Nothobranchius furzeri: one gene and its partners. The main gene of each other region encodes a partner of the protein of the gene in region 3 in a complex. Links are inferred from orthologs where the notes say so. Each region holds a gene or a part of one and is shown on either strand. Other genes may lie near its edges. The genes, in order: ctnnbl1, rbm22 and bcas2.

Evidence for each region.
Region 1: bcas2 (region 3) and ctnnbl1 share a complex: the UniProt entries of both Homo sapiens proteins name them as parts of the PRP19-CDC5L splicing complex. The link is inferred for Nothobranchius furzeri from reciprocal best matches to the Homo sapiens genes BCAS2 and CTNNBL1.
Region 2: bcas2 (region 3) and rbm22 share a complex: the UniProt entries of both Homo sapiens proteins name them as parts of the postcatalytic spliceosome P complex. The link is inferred for Nothobranchius furzeri from reciprocal best matches to the Homo sapiens genes BCAS2 and RBM22.

The regions. Positions count from the first base shown.
Region 1 is NC_091755.1:51,796,168-51,799,823, reverse strand, and holds part of ctnnbl1 (beta-catenin-like protein 1), read left to right. Parts: intron 1-530; coding exon 531-603; intron 604-1,493; coding exon 1,494-1,552; intron 1,553-2,762; coding exon 2,763-2,911; intron 2,912-3,656. UniProt on the Homo sapiens protein: Component of the PRP19-CDC5L complex that forms an integral part of the spliceosome and is required for activating pre-mRNA splicing.
Region 2 is NC_091741.1:95,926,555-95,930,210, reverse strand, and holds part of rbm22 (pre-mRNA-splicing factor RBM22), read left to right. Parts: intron 1-233; coding exon 234-434; intron 435-515; coding exon 516-680; intron 681-2,579; coding exon 2,580-2,665; intron 2,666-3,656. UniProt on the Homo sapiens protein: Required for pre-mRNA splicing as component of the activated spliceosome. Involved in the first step of pre-mRNA splicing.
Region 3 is NC_091755.1:51,937,888-51,941,643, reverse strand, and holds bcas2 (pre-mRNA-splicing factor SPF27), read right to left. Parts: upstream 2,611-3,756; 5' UTR 2,500-2,610; coding exon 2,407-2,499; intron 1,625-2,406; coding exon 1,532-1,624; intron 1,444-1,531; coding exon 1,373-1,443; intron 1,257-1,372; coding exon 1,095-1,256; intron 1,007-1,094; coding exon 956-1,006; intron 868-955; coding exon 787-867; intron 700-786; coding exon 573-699; 3' UTR 64-572; downstream 1-63. UniProt on the Homo sapiens protein: Required for pre-mRNA splicing as component of the activated spliceosome. Component of the PRP19-CDC5L complex that forms an integral part of the spliceosome and is required for activating pre-mRNA splicing.

The DNA of each region.
Region 1 (3,656 bases), about 140 kb from region 3:
AAGACCCAGGACTCGTGAAATGAATACCAGCTAATAAGATGATATCTCTGAGTACATAAAACTTCTGGTATGTTCTCAGTCATGCCGGGTTTGATGATTTGTTTTTTTCTGTTTAACTGCTGTACTTGTATAGGATAAATGTTTATTCTGAGATTTTGTGACAGGGATGTTATAGAGCAAACCTTATAACTACTGTAGGTTTGTCTGTAACAAAAACAAAAATCTAGTTTCATATTTATCTAAAAAAAAAACGTCTGGTTTAGTTTGGAATCACACCATCTGCGGGAATTAATTTCTGTGTTTTCCCTCTTTTGGGTTGTTTTGAATAAAATAAATGAGGTTATAAATATGTTCAGAAATGATGTGCAGTATTATACACTGTGTGAGACAGAATCTGCATAAAGCAGGTCTCTGCTTGAGGTTAGAAAATGCAGATTTTCCTGTAGAATACATAGTGATTTTGTAATCCTCTGGAGAACAGAGTTTCTCAAGAGGAGTGGTAATTAGACTTCGCTCTCCTTCCCTCTCAGGCAAAGATGCCGTTTGATGCTAACAAGCTGTACTGCAGTGAAATTCTAGCCATTCTGCTGCAAAATAATGACAGTAAGTGTATCTCAGTAAATTGTTGACGTGTTCTAAATTATTTATTTATCTTCCATCTTTTTTCCGCCTGTTCACCCTAAATTGACTTCAACCCTCCATTCTGTCTTAGTTACATTTCTCTCATTGAACTTGTTAAAATATTTTCCTTGTCGTCCTCTCCCTCTCTAAAATGTTCCTCCTTTTTAAGTTACTTTCCACGCCATCTCTGTTGGTTTATGTGCAGTCGTCTTCATCCTTTCCCTCCCTCACAAAAAAGAAAGGCAGTAAAATCAGAGCCACAGGACGACCAGGGCCTTGGGCTAGTTCTCATTAATGGTACAAATCACATTGGTATGCAGCTGAAGTCATTTCTCATTTCGCACCTATTTCCCCACTCTTCTCTTGTGCTGCCTCCATTATAACTCTCTCTCTCTTTTGCATTTCAAAATGAAAAATTTATACAAAACTATGTTTTGCCAAAACAAGGACACATGCTGTCTTGAGTACTATCCTGTTTAATATATATATATATATATATATATATATATATATATATATATATATATATATATATATATATATATATAGCCACATAAAATGGGAAATTATAACAACATAGGCAACATTCCTGATGTCCTAATTTGCATCTACTTATTTTTATTAGACTTCAATAAAAACAAAAATCTAAAAGATATCATATAAAACAGCAGAGGCGTTAGTGTGGAAGCTCCCGATGCCTTTAAATTGTCCCATCTTATTTCCTTAGTCATTATTTTGTTAAAGTAATTGATTTAGGTTTAGCACAAATCATTTTTGTTTAAATGCTCATTTTTATAATCGGAATCTTGTGAACTCATTTCTGCCTCCTTTTCATTCACCTTGTTGTCTTTTTATTTTCTCTTTCTTTACAGGTACCAGAGAACTGCTGGGTGAAATGGATGGTATTGATGTGCTACTGCAGCAGTTATCTGTAAGAACTTTTATTTTTTTCTCTCACTTGTATTCAAACTAGGGATGCTCGATATTTTCTTTTTGTTTTTTTTACCAATATCAGACACACCGATATTGTCTGACTCTTAATTTCCAATACCAATTTAAACATACTGATTAATTTTATGCCCCTCCCTCATAAAAAAGAAAAACTGAAATATTTTAGGTTACTAACACATCACATATCTCCCATTAGTCGTTTGTTAGCCGTCTAGCTACACATTGCCAGGTGCAGGACGGTGTACGTTCACCACACAGGGCAAATTTCTACTTCTCAAATTGTGTCAAAAAAACTAAAATATGTCAATAACCTTACCTCAGATCTGTCATATTTTAACATTTTGAGAGAGAGAATAAGTAGCTGAAGAATTTGATGTATATTATGTGGATGTTATTAACTCATTCACCGCCAATGACGACTAAAGTCACCATTTGCATTTATTTACTGTGTGGGCGTCGGAACGAGCCCCCGCACCATGAGAACGAACATCTCAGCTCTAAAGCTGATCTTCATTCGCGTACATCACACGTCATGTGATCAGGAAGCAGAAAATCCATGTGTTAGGAGATCGTTTTCGGACGTTGCTGTAAAAAAAGTGAGGCGCGAACCGGAAAAGCTTCTGCCGATCACAATTCAACAACGGATTATGAAAGAACGGATAACGCTCGAAACGCGTGGATTCTTCCTGATGTAAGAAGTGAGTCTCCTCTTTGTTTTGGTAGTTTTCGCATTGACATCATCCTAGCGCGCAACGTTATGTGACTCTTAAAAAAACTGTGAAAATGCTGAAAACCGCTGGCAGCGAAAGGCTTTTCTGATCAGGAAACGGCTGGCAGTTAACGAGTTAAAAGGTTGGGTCAAAACCGATACCAATATTGTCCGGTATTACATTTTTTATGCCAATATCTGTCGATATTAATAATAAACCAATAATATTGCACATCCGTGGTTCAAACATTTAACTTATTTCTAAGCTCTAAACACGCCCGGCGCCTGTTCTCCTGCAACGCATTTTGTCTAACGTGAAGCTGTGCAAGCAACCCCACCACTGATGAATGTTTGGTTTAGTGTGGCTTTTATTTGGAATTAGCTTTATTTCATAATTAGATGCTAAATTAGTAGACAAAGGTATAATCCTTCATGTCATCTTTTTTCTAAGTGCTTCCCACTCCTTGTCCTTTTCTCTCAGGTGTTCAAACGTCACAATCCGAACACGGCTGAGGAGCAGGAGATGATGGAAAATCTGTTTGATGCTCTGTGTTCCTGCCTCATGCTGCCCTCTAATCGGGATCGCTTCCTCAAAGGAGAAGGGCTTCAGCTAATGAATCTCATGCTCAGGTAAAGGTTTAATCTACAAGAAATCCCATGAGTGGGATGCACTACAGACTTCCTAAACCGTAAATCATCCCGCAGCTTGCCAGGGATCCCATCCCTCATATCCGTAAAGGTAAAGGTTTCCCAGATCAGGCTTTCAGCTGTTGTTTCATATTTTTCAGGACTTCTATAAATTGACAGACTTTAAATGTATATTACACGCTTCTATCTGAAGCAGATATCACTCTAAATACCAGAATGTTATTTGACCTTTTCTCTTTGTCGCAGCTTTAGGATTTTTACATTTCCCAAAGCACTTTACAATAAAAGGTTTACACCAACAGTTCAGCGTTTTGGAGGACCACCTGAAACCAAAATGATTAATATGCTTATGCTACTATAAGTGCAACAATAATAACAGTAATACACAGTTAAAGGTTGACTATGGAACACAAACACTCTGGTGTTCAGAGAACAAATTTTCCAGTTGCTGGGATGTTGGTTCACTGCTGACCCGTTCCAGCACTATGTTCAGAGACAAATTGTACAGGATAAGGACAAATTTCTACTAATAACTTTATTTTACAACAAAATTTACCATTGGAACATCTTCTGGGCTCAAAATCAGCTGCTTGTCAAGTCTGCCATTTTACACAGTCCCAACCTTGCATTGCTGAGTGGACGTTTTAGCGCAACAGTGCCCTCTAATGGCTGGTAGATGTAAACATAAACACAGTGTCGTGCCTGTAGGGTTGTAGGGTTTAGGAAA
Region 2 (3,656 bases), on a different chromosome or scaffold from region 3:
CTTGTGACACATCTTCCTGGTTTAGGAAGCATGTTTGAATCATGTTTTTGGTGATTTTATGAATAACAAAGCTCCGCAAAAACGAACAGCCTTTAGTATAACAGCAGCATAACTCACAACACCAATGTGTACTGGATCAACCAGGGTCTCGGGTCAGTAGTGAGTAAGGCCATTATTGGCATGTTGTTGGTTGGTGTGACGTTTGTTCACTATGACATCACGTTTATCTACAGACACGAGAAGCCCACAGATCCCGATGACCCGCTGGCCGATCAGAACATTAAAGACCGTTACTACGGCATCAACGACCCAGTCGCTGACAAGCTGCTGAAGCGAGCCTCGACTATGCCCCGACTGGACCCCCCTGAGGACAAGTCCATCACCACCCTCTACATCGGGGGTCTGGGGGATAATGTCACCGACGGAGACCTGAAGTATAGATCCACTCAAATTTAATTTGTATATTTTTACCATTTTTACTTTACTAACCACATTCTGTTTGTGTGTTTTTGCAGGGGTCACTTCTATCAGTTTGGTGAGATTCGAACCATTACCATAGTCCAAAGGCAGCAGTGTGCCTTCATCCAGTTTGCCACTCGGCAGGCGGCTGAGATGGCTGCCGAAAAGTCCTTCAACAAACTAATCATTAATGGGCGGAGGCTGACTGTCAAGTGGGGGAGGTAAGATGCTGCCCAGCTCCACCTGGAGGGCGTGGGGTAATGTGCTTGTTAAATACCAGAGAGTGTGTTTGTAACAGCCTGAGGTGAACCCACCACCCTAACAGCTGTCACGTGACTCGTGTCAGCAGAGCATTTAAAACCTGATTATTACTCACACATTAGGAGTTTAACTACAGGGTGGGCCATTTATATGGATACACCTTAATAAAATGGGAATGGTTGATGAAATTAACGTCCTGTTTGTGGCACATGAGTATATGTGAGGGGGCCAACGTTTCAAGATGGGTGGTGACCGTGGTGGTCATTTTGAAGTTGGCCATCTTGGATTCAACTTTTGTATTTTCAATAGGAAGAGGGTCATGTGACACATCAAACCTATTGGGAATTTCACAAGAAAAACAATGGTGTGCATGGTTTTAACGTAACTTTATTTTTTCTTGAGTTATTTACAAGTTTCTGACCACTTATGAAATGTGCTGCCTATTGTGTTGGATTGTCAATGCAACCCTCTTCTCTCACTCTTCACACACTGATACCAACACCGCAGGAGAAATGCCAGCACAGGCATCTAGTATCTGTAGTTTCAGGTGCTGCACATCTCGTATCTTCACACCATAGACAATTGCTTTCAGATGACCCCAAAGATAAAAGTCTAAGGAGGTCAGATCGGGAGATCTTGGGGCCATTCAACTGGCCCACAACAACCAATCCACTTTCCAGGAAACTGTTCATCTAGGAATGCTCGGACCTGACACCCATAATGTGGTGGTGCACCATCTTGCTGGAAAAACTCAGGGAACGTGCCAGCTTCAGTGCATAAAGAGGGAAACACATCATCATGTAGCAATTTCAAATATCCAGTGGCCTTGAGGTTTCCGTTGATGAAGAATGGCCTCACTATCTTTGTACCCCGTATACCACACTATACCATCACTTTTTTGTTCCAACAGTCTTGGAGGGACCTATCCAATGTGGGTTAGTGTCAGACCAATAGCGGTGGATTTGTCTGTTAACTTCACCATTCATGTAAAGGTTTGCCTCATCACTGAACAAAATCTTCTGCTTGAACTGAGGGTCCTCTTCCAATTTTTGTTTTGCCCATTCTGCTAATTCTGTGCCCTGATCTGGGTCATCCTCGTTGAGATGCTGCAGTAGCTGGAGTTTGTAAGGGTGCCGTTTGTGAGTAGATGATATCCGCTGAAGGGATGTTCGACTAATGCCACTCTCCAGTGACATGCGACGAGTGCTACGCTGTGGGCTCTTGCTGAGTGAAGCTAGGACAGCCACATATATTTCTTCATTATTGACCGTTTTCATGCATCCACATTTTGGCAAAGCCAACACTGAACCAGTTTCACGAAACTTAGCAAGCAGTTTGCTAACTGTAGCATGGGGGGATGAGTGGTCTCGTAGGGTGTCTTGCATTGAAATCTGCTGCAATGACCCGGTTACCGCGTTCACAGATATCAACACAATTTCGATCCGCTCCTCACCTGTTAACCTCTTCGACATGTCAATGGCTGTGAACAAATAGAAACTTGTGAATAACTCATGAAAGAATAAAGTTACGTTCAAAGCAAGCACACCATTGTTTTTCATGTGAAATTCCCAATAAGTTTTATGTGTCACATGACCCTCTTCCTATTAAAAAAAACAAAGTTGGCCGACTTCAAAATGGCCACCATGGTCACCACCCATCTTGAAAAGTTTGCCCCTCAAATATACTAACGTGCCACAAACAGGATGTTAATATCACCAACCATTCCCATGTTATTAAGGTGTATCCATATAAGTGGCCCACCCTGTACAGTAAAGAATACAACTCTTCTGTTTTTAAGCTGTACACATTTTTGTTAGCTAGTGAGCTGATGTCAAAAGAAAGGTGGTTTGTTGTTTTAGGTCTCAGGCAGCAAGAGGCAAAGATGGTAAGGATGGAATCAGTGAGATGGGAATCAGACTGGATCCTGTACCTGGGCTTCCTGGAGGTGAGTCTGGAGTTTGAGTGCACATACACACACGGACAAAATAGTTGGTACCCTTTGGTCAATGAAAGAAAAACCCACAATGGTTACAGAAATAACAACAAAAGGAATAATTAATACAAATTCTATGAGAATAACCAATGAAAGTCAGACATTTCTTTTTAACCATACTTCAACTGAATTATTTATATAATAAAATAAACTCATGGAACAGGCCTGGACAAAAATGATGGTACCCCCAACTTAATATTTTGTTTCACAATATTTTGCGGCAGTCACTGTTATTAAACGATTCCTGTATATGTCAGTGAGACTTCTGCACCTGTCAGCAGGTATTTTGGCCCACTCTTCATGAGCAAACTGCTCCAGGTCTCTCGGGTTTGAAGGACGCCTTTTCCAGGCGGCATGTTTCAGCTCCTTCCAAATATGTTCACCAGGATTGAGGTCAGGACTCATAGAAGGCCACTTTAGAATAGTCCATTGTTTTCCTCTTAGCCATTCTTGGGTGTTATTATCTGTGTGTTTTGGGTCGTTGTCCTGTTGCAAGATCCATGACCTCCGACTGAGACCAAGCTTTCGACCTCCGACTGAGACCAAGCTTTCCGACACAGGCCAGGGGTCTCATTTATCAAACATTGCGTAGCATCCTTACTAAAACCGTACTTAAGCTCAGCAAAAAAAAAGTACTTACACCAAGTAGGTTTGTGATCTATCAAACATGGAGTACGCACAGCTGCACACAATCTCCGCTTCGTAAATCAGAAACTATCTAGAAAATTTCTCAGCTGTTTTTTAGTCACATCCCGCCCTCACCACACCCACTTACTGCCATAAATAGTCAATGCAAAGTGCCTTGTCGATCTCATGCATATACATAAGGCTGTTGCTGCATTGCTCCGCCAATGACGATGGCGACCGTAGATCAAGGCAGATCAAGGAAGCGAAATTTCACAGAAGCAGAAATTGAGGTACCGTATTTTCACGACCATAAGGC
Region 3 (3,756 bases):
CAGTTGAGCTTAAAAATATCAAATAAACGTGTTACAAAAAACAAAGACAGATGACAATGGAAGTTATTATAAAAGCTCATTTTGTTACAAACAGCATTTTAGAAAATAATAAATGTAAGTTAATGTGGAGTCCTTTCATTTTGGCTTCAAATCTGACAAATTATTTACAATTCTAAAAACTTTGTTGAAAGGCAACTTAAAAAACAGCTAGATTTATGAGGCTTATGTGTAGTAACTATTGGAACTACTGCCAGGGTATCAGTAGCACAAACATAAAACTTAGGACTGAAAACTCAGCTGTGTCTGAAATGACAAAATTGCAAAACAAAACAAACACTAAAGCGCTGCAAACAGAAAATAAAACTATTACAGGTGTGTTTGCGTTTTCAGCCTGAAATAAGATGAGATCGGAATCTACAGTTTTGCTTAGAGCAAACACGATTCTGATAAAAGTTCATTTTAAACATTCCAACAATGTTTTTAGTGGAAAATCCTAAACATGTGGTTGATTTAAAGATCTGTAGAAAATGTGTCTGATTGAGGGAACGTTAGTTTTGAGTTTGCGTGATTCTTCAGAAGTCCTGACAGATGTTCTCCTTGTTCTCGTCTCCCTGCTGTTGCCGGAGCTGACCTACTTCATTCTCCAGCTGGACTATGGCTCTCTCGATCTCGTAGTTTTTACTGACCAGAGACACCCAACTGTCAAACAAAAACACAGATGTTAAGACATCTGGAAACAACGTGTTCTCTCCACACAGTGACATGGAAGTTGTTCAGAAGACACACTTAGACTCCAGCTCGCGTAGTTTGGCCCCCGCTGCCAGCTGATCATTCTTACGCTGCCAGTTCAAATCTTGAATTTGCTTCCTGTCAACCAAAGTAATTGTTAAGCTTCTAAATATGAATTCTCAAAGCCCTTTAAATTAGCAAACAATGTCCAGGCATCGCAATTCACCTGAATTTGTGGAGTTCCTTTTGAGCCATCTCAATCAGAAAAGCCAGATTACTGTGGAAGGAGAACAAAAAAAATAATTAACAGTCTTCAAATAAAACAATGGTACTATTTCTGAAAAATAAAAGCTGCCATAACTCACTCATTGTAGACTTTCCATGCATTTGTTCCATACTGTGACATGAGCTCCAGGTTCTCAATGCGAACTGCTTGGTGCTCCAGCTGGGCCATGGAGTTGTTCACACACTCTTGCCACGCTGTAATGTCATTCTTCTGTCCTGAAGTTGGAGCTGGCAGCTCGTATCTTCACAGGCAGGAAGATATTAGAACATAATGTCCATATTTATTAAAATACTGAGCAAATGATTTGCAAAGCAAACATATATCTTGCAAGGCAACTACCACCAGAGCAGTTTTTACCTTTTCATGCTCAAAAGATCCATAGGCGAACGTGCCGCTAACCGCTCAAATTCGTTTCTCATAATTTCTGTCTGGAAGGGTGAAAACAAAGTGCAGTAAGTTCTGTGTCAAAGTCTGAAAGTCCATAAGAAGACCTCACATTTCTAATTAGATTCTTACCTCAAAAGCAGAGAAGTCAGGTGTAGGTAGGTAGCTCAGGTAGTTCTTCGTAGGTCTGTACCTTCTTGTCTCCTCCTCAACCAATGCAGCTGCCTAAGGGATCAAACAGGGTTTATGTTTGGTTCTGCAGCTTTAAAACCAACTTTCTCATTACTATTCTACGGCAATGCCCTGTCAAGCTTAATTCGCTATTTTGTAATAACAAAGGATGACAAATATTAAATACATAAATAAACTAATATATGAAGACTAAATCTGATTTTAGGTTTACAAGGAGCAAGAAGTACAAAAAGAAGTTATAAAACATCCACATAAAAGCTCCAAAGATGCCTAAAATGGTACTTGTCTATGACGTTGTTTACATCCTTATTTACTAAACGCAAATACAGATAACCATTTGATCACTGTTCACAAGGTTTAATGTGGCATTATCAACTATACAATTCAACAAGTTCACAGTTTGAATCTGAAAGATTCTAGGTGTTAAAATCTCAAATTATGCATCTTTTCCCGTGCCAAACTCAAAGGATAATTAGTCACATTAGAACCCAAATAAACCAAATTTAAAGAAAGGAAACATGTCATAAAATGTCTCTGCGACCTATTATGCAAATATATAAAATTTATATTCGTTTCATGTTGTTTTAACAAAATTCGTGCATTTGTTGAGATTCTTTGGTTTCTTCGTCTAGCAGTCTATTACGCACTAATAAACACTAACCAGCTATATATAAAAATAAACGCGTTAGTTTGGTCTATACAAGTAATATTAATTTAACAGTTAAAAGGCCATCGACTTTAAGGATTAATGAAAGTTTCCATGTAGCGTGTTGGCTAACACGCTTCTGATAGCAAACATTTTTTATTTCACTCACCGCCTCTCTGACACCTGGCGCATCATAACCTTGGTCGAAATACGGCAAAGCATCAACAAACACTTCACCCGCTACTGAAGCTGTCCCGGCCATTTTAATGAGTCTATTTACTGATTAATTTGTTGATTTATTTCTTCCTCGGCGGCTAGTAGCTAACTGAACCCAAGTTCTTTTTCCGGTGAAGAGTTTCAAAATAAAATGTCCTACATTTTTTTCCGTGCTCATACATAATGCTTACGGTTCCGTGTTCGATAGGAATGTGACGAAGGCAGTGCGTGATGAAGATGCACATCGAAGATGCGCATAAAAATACAGTTGAACTCCAACTGTGACCTGTTTTCCCTCTACCCTAATTTTTAGTAAATTTTCCTTGAAACCTTATGTACAAGACCCCATATAAAACTGTGCAAACGTTTTAAACCACCCATAATTTCTTCAAAACACGATTCCAAGACGCAACATTTCCTTGTAATATTTTAATATAGACTTAGTTTTAGAGGCTCCAAGAAGGTTCTTTTAAATGCGCGCGCGCGCGCGTGTGTTTAACGAGCATTAACGTAATTTCCCATTTTCTGTTTTGTCACCTGACTATGACAGCATTGGACCATTTTTTTAATGTAGAAAAGTGGATTGGTAGAAGACACAATTGAAGAATTTGGATCACTGACCCTGCCACCACCACAAGCCATATGTGTGCTCCATTTTTTAAATCAAAATCACATTGGCACCAGATAATATCTCATCCACACCAGATAGTTTCTCAGAAATTATCTGATGCAGACTGATACTATCTGGAGTACATGAGATCTGATGCTCATATGAATCTCTAGCCTGGACAGCCATGCCAATGTGTAGAATAGAAAGGGGGTAAGTCTGGCTGGTGTGCACAAAATACCAGCCTTTTTACCCACTTCAAATGCAAGAAATACATTCCAACAAAAATCAGAGATTTTTAAAAAAAGTATTCAATTGATTGATTGACTGAAAACTTGAGAAACCCATCCTCTTTCATTTGATCATCTCCACAGGTTATCTGAACGATGTTTTTTTTTTTAATTTTTTGGGGGGGATGATTTAATTAATTAAATAAAACATTTGGTTAGTATTCTTTAAAAGAAATATCAGTAACCCTATGATGAAACCTAAAATTAACTACTTTTGGGCTTTTAAGAGGAGATCCTTTCAGTATAGATGAGCTCTCGAACACTCACAAATTGATAAGTTGGCCATGAGTTAAAGCTGCTTTAGTGAATCTACAGTACAAGCTAGGTTTAGAGCGCAAACACCATCACAAAACACGCACCCTCTTCCCTTGTTTACCTTCCCCGAGATACTTCTACTGGAAATGGA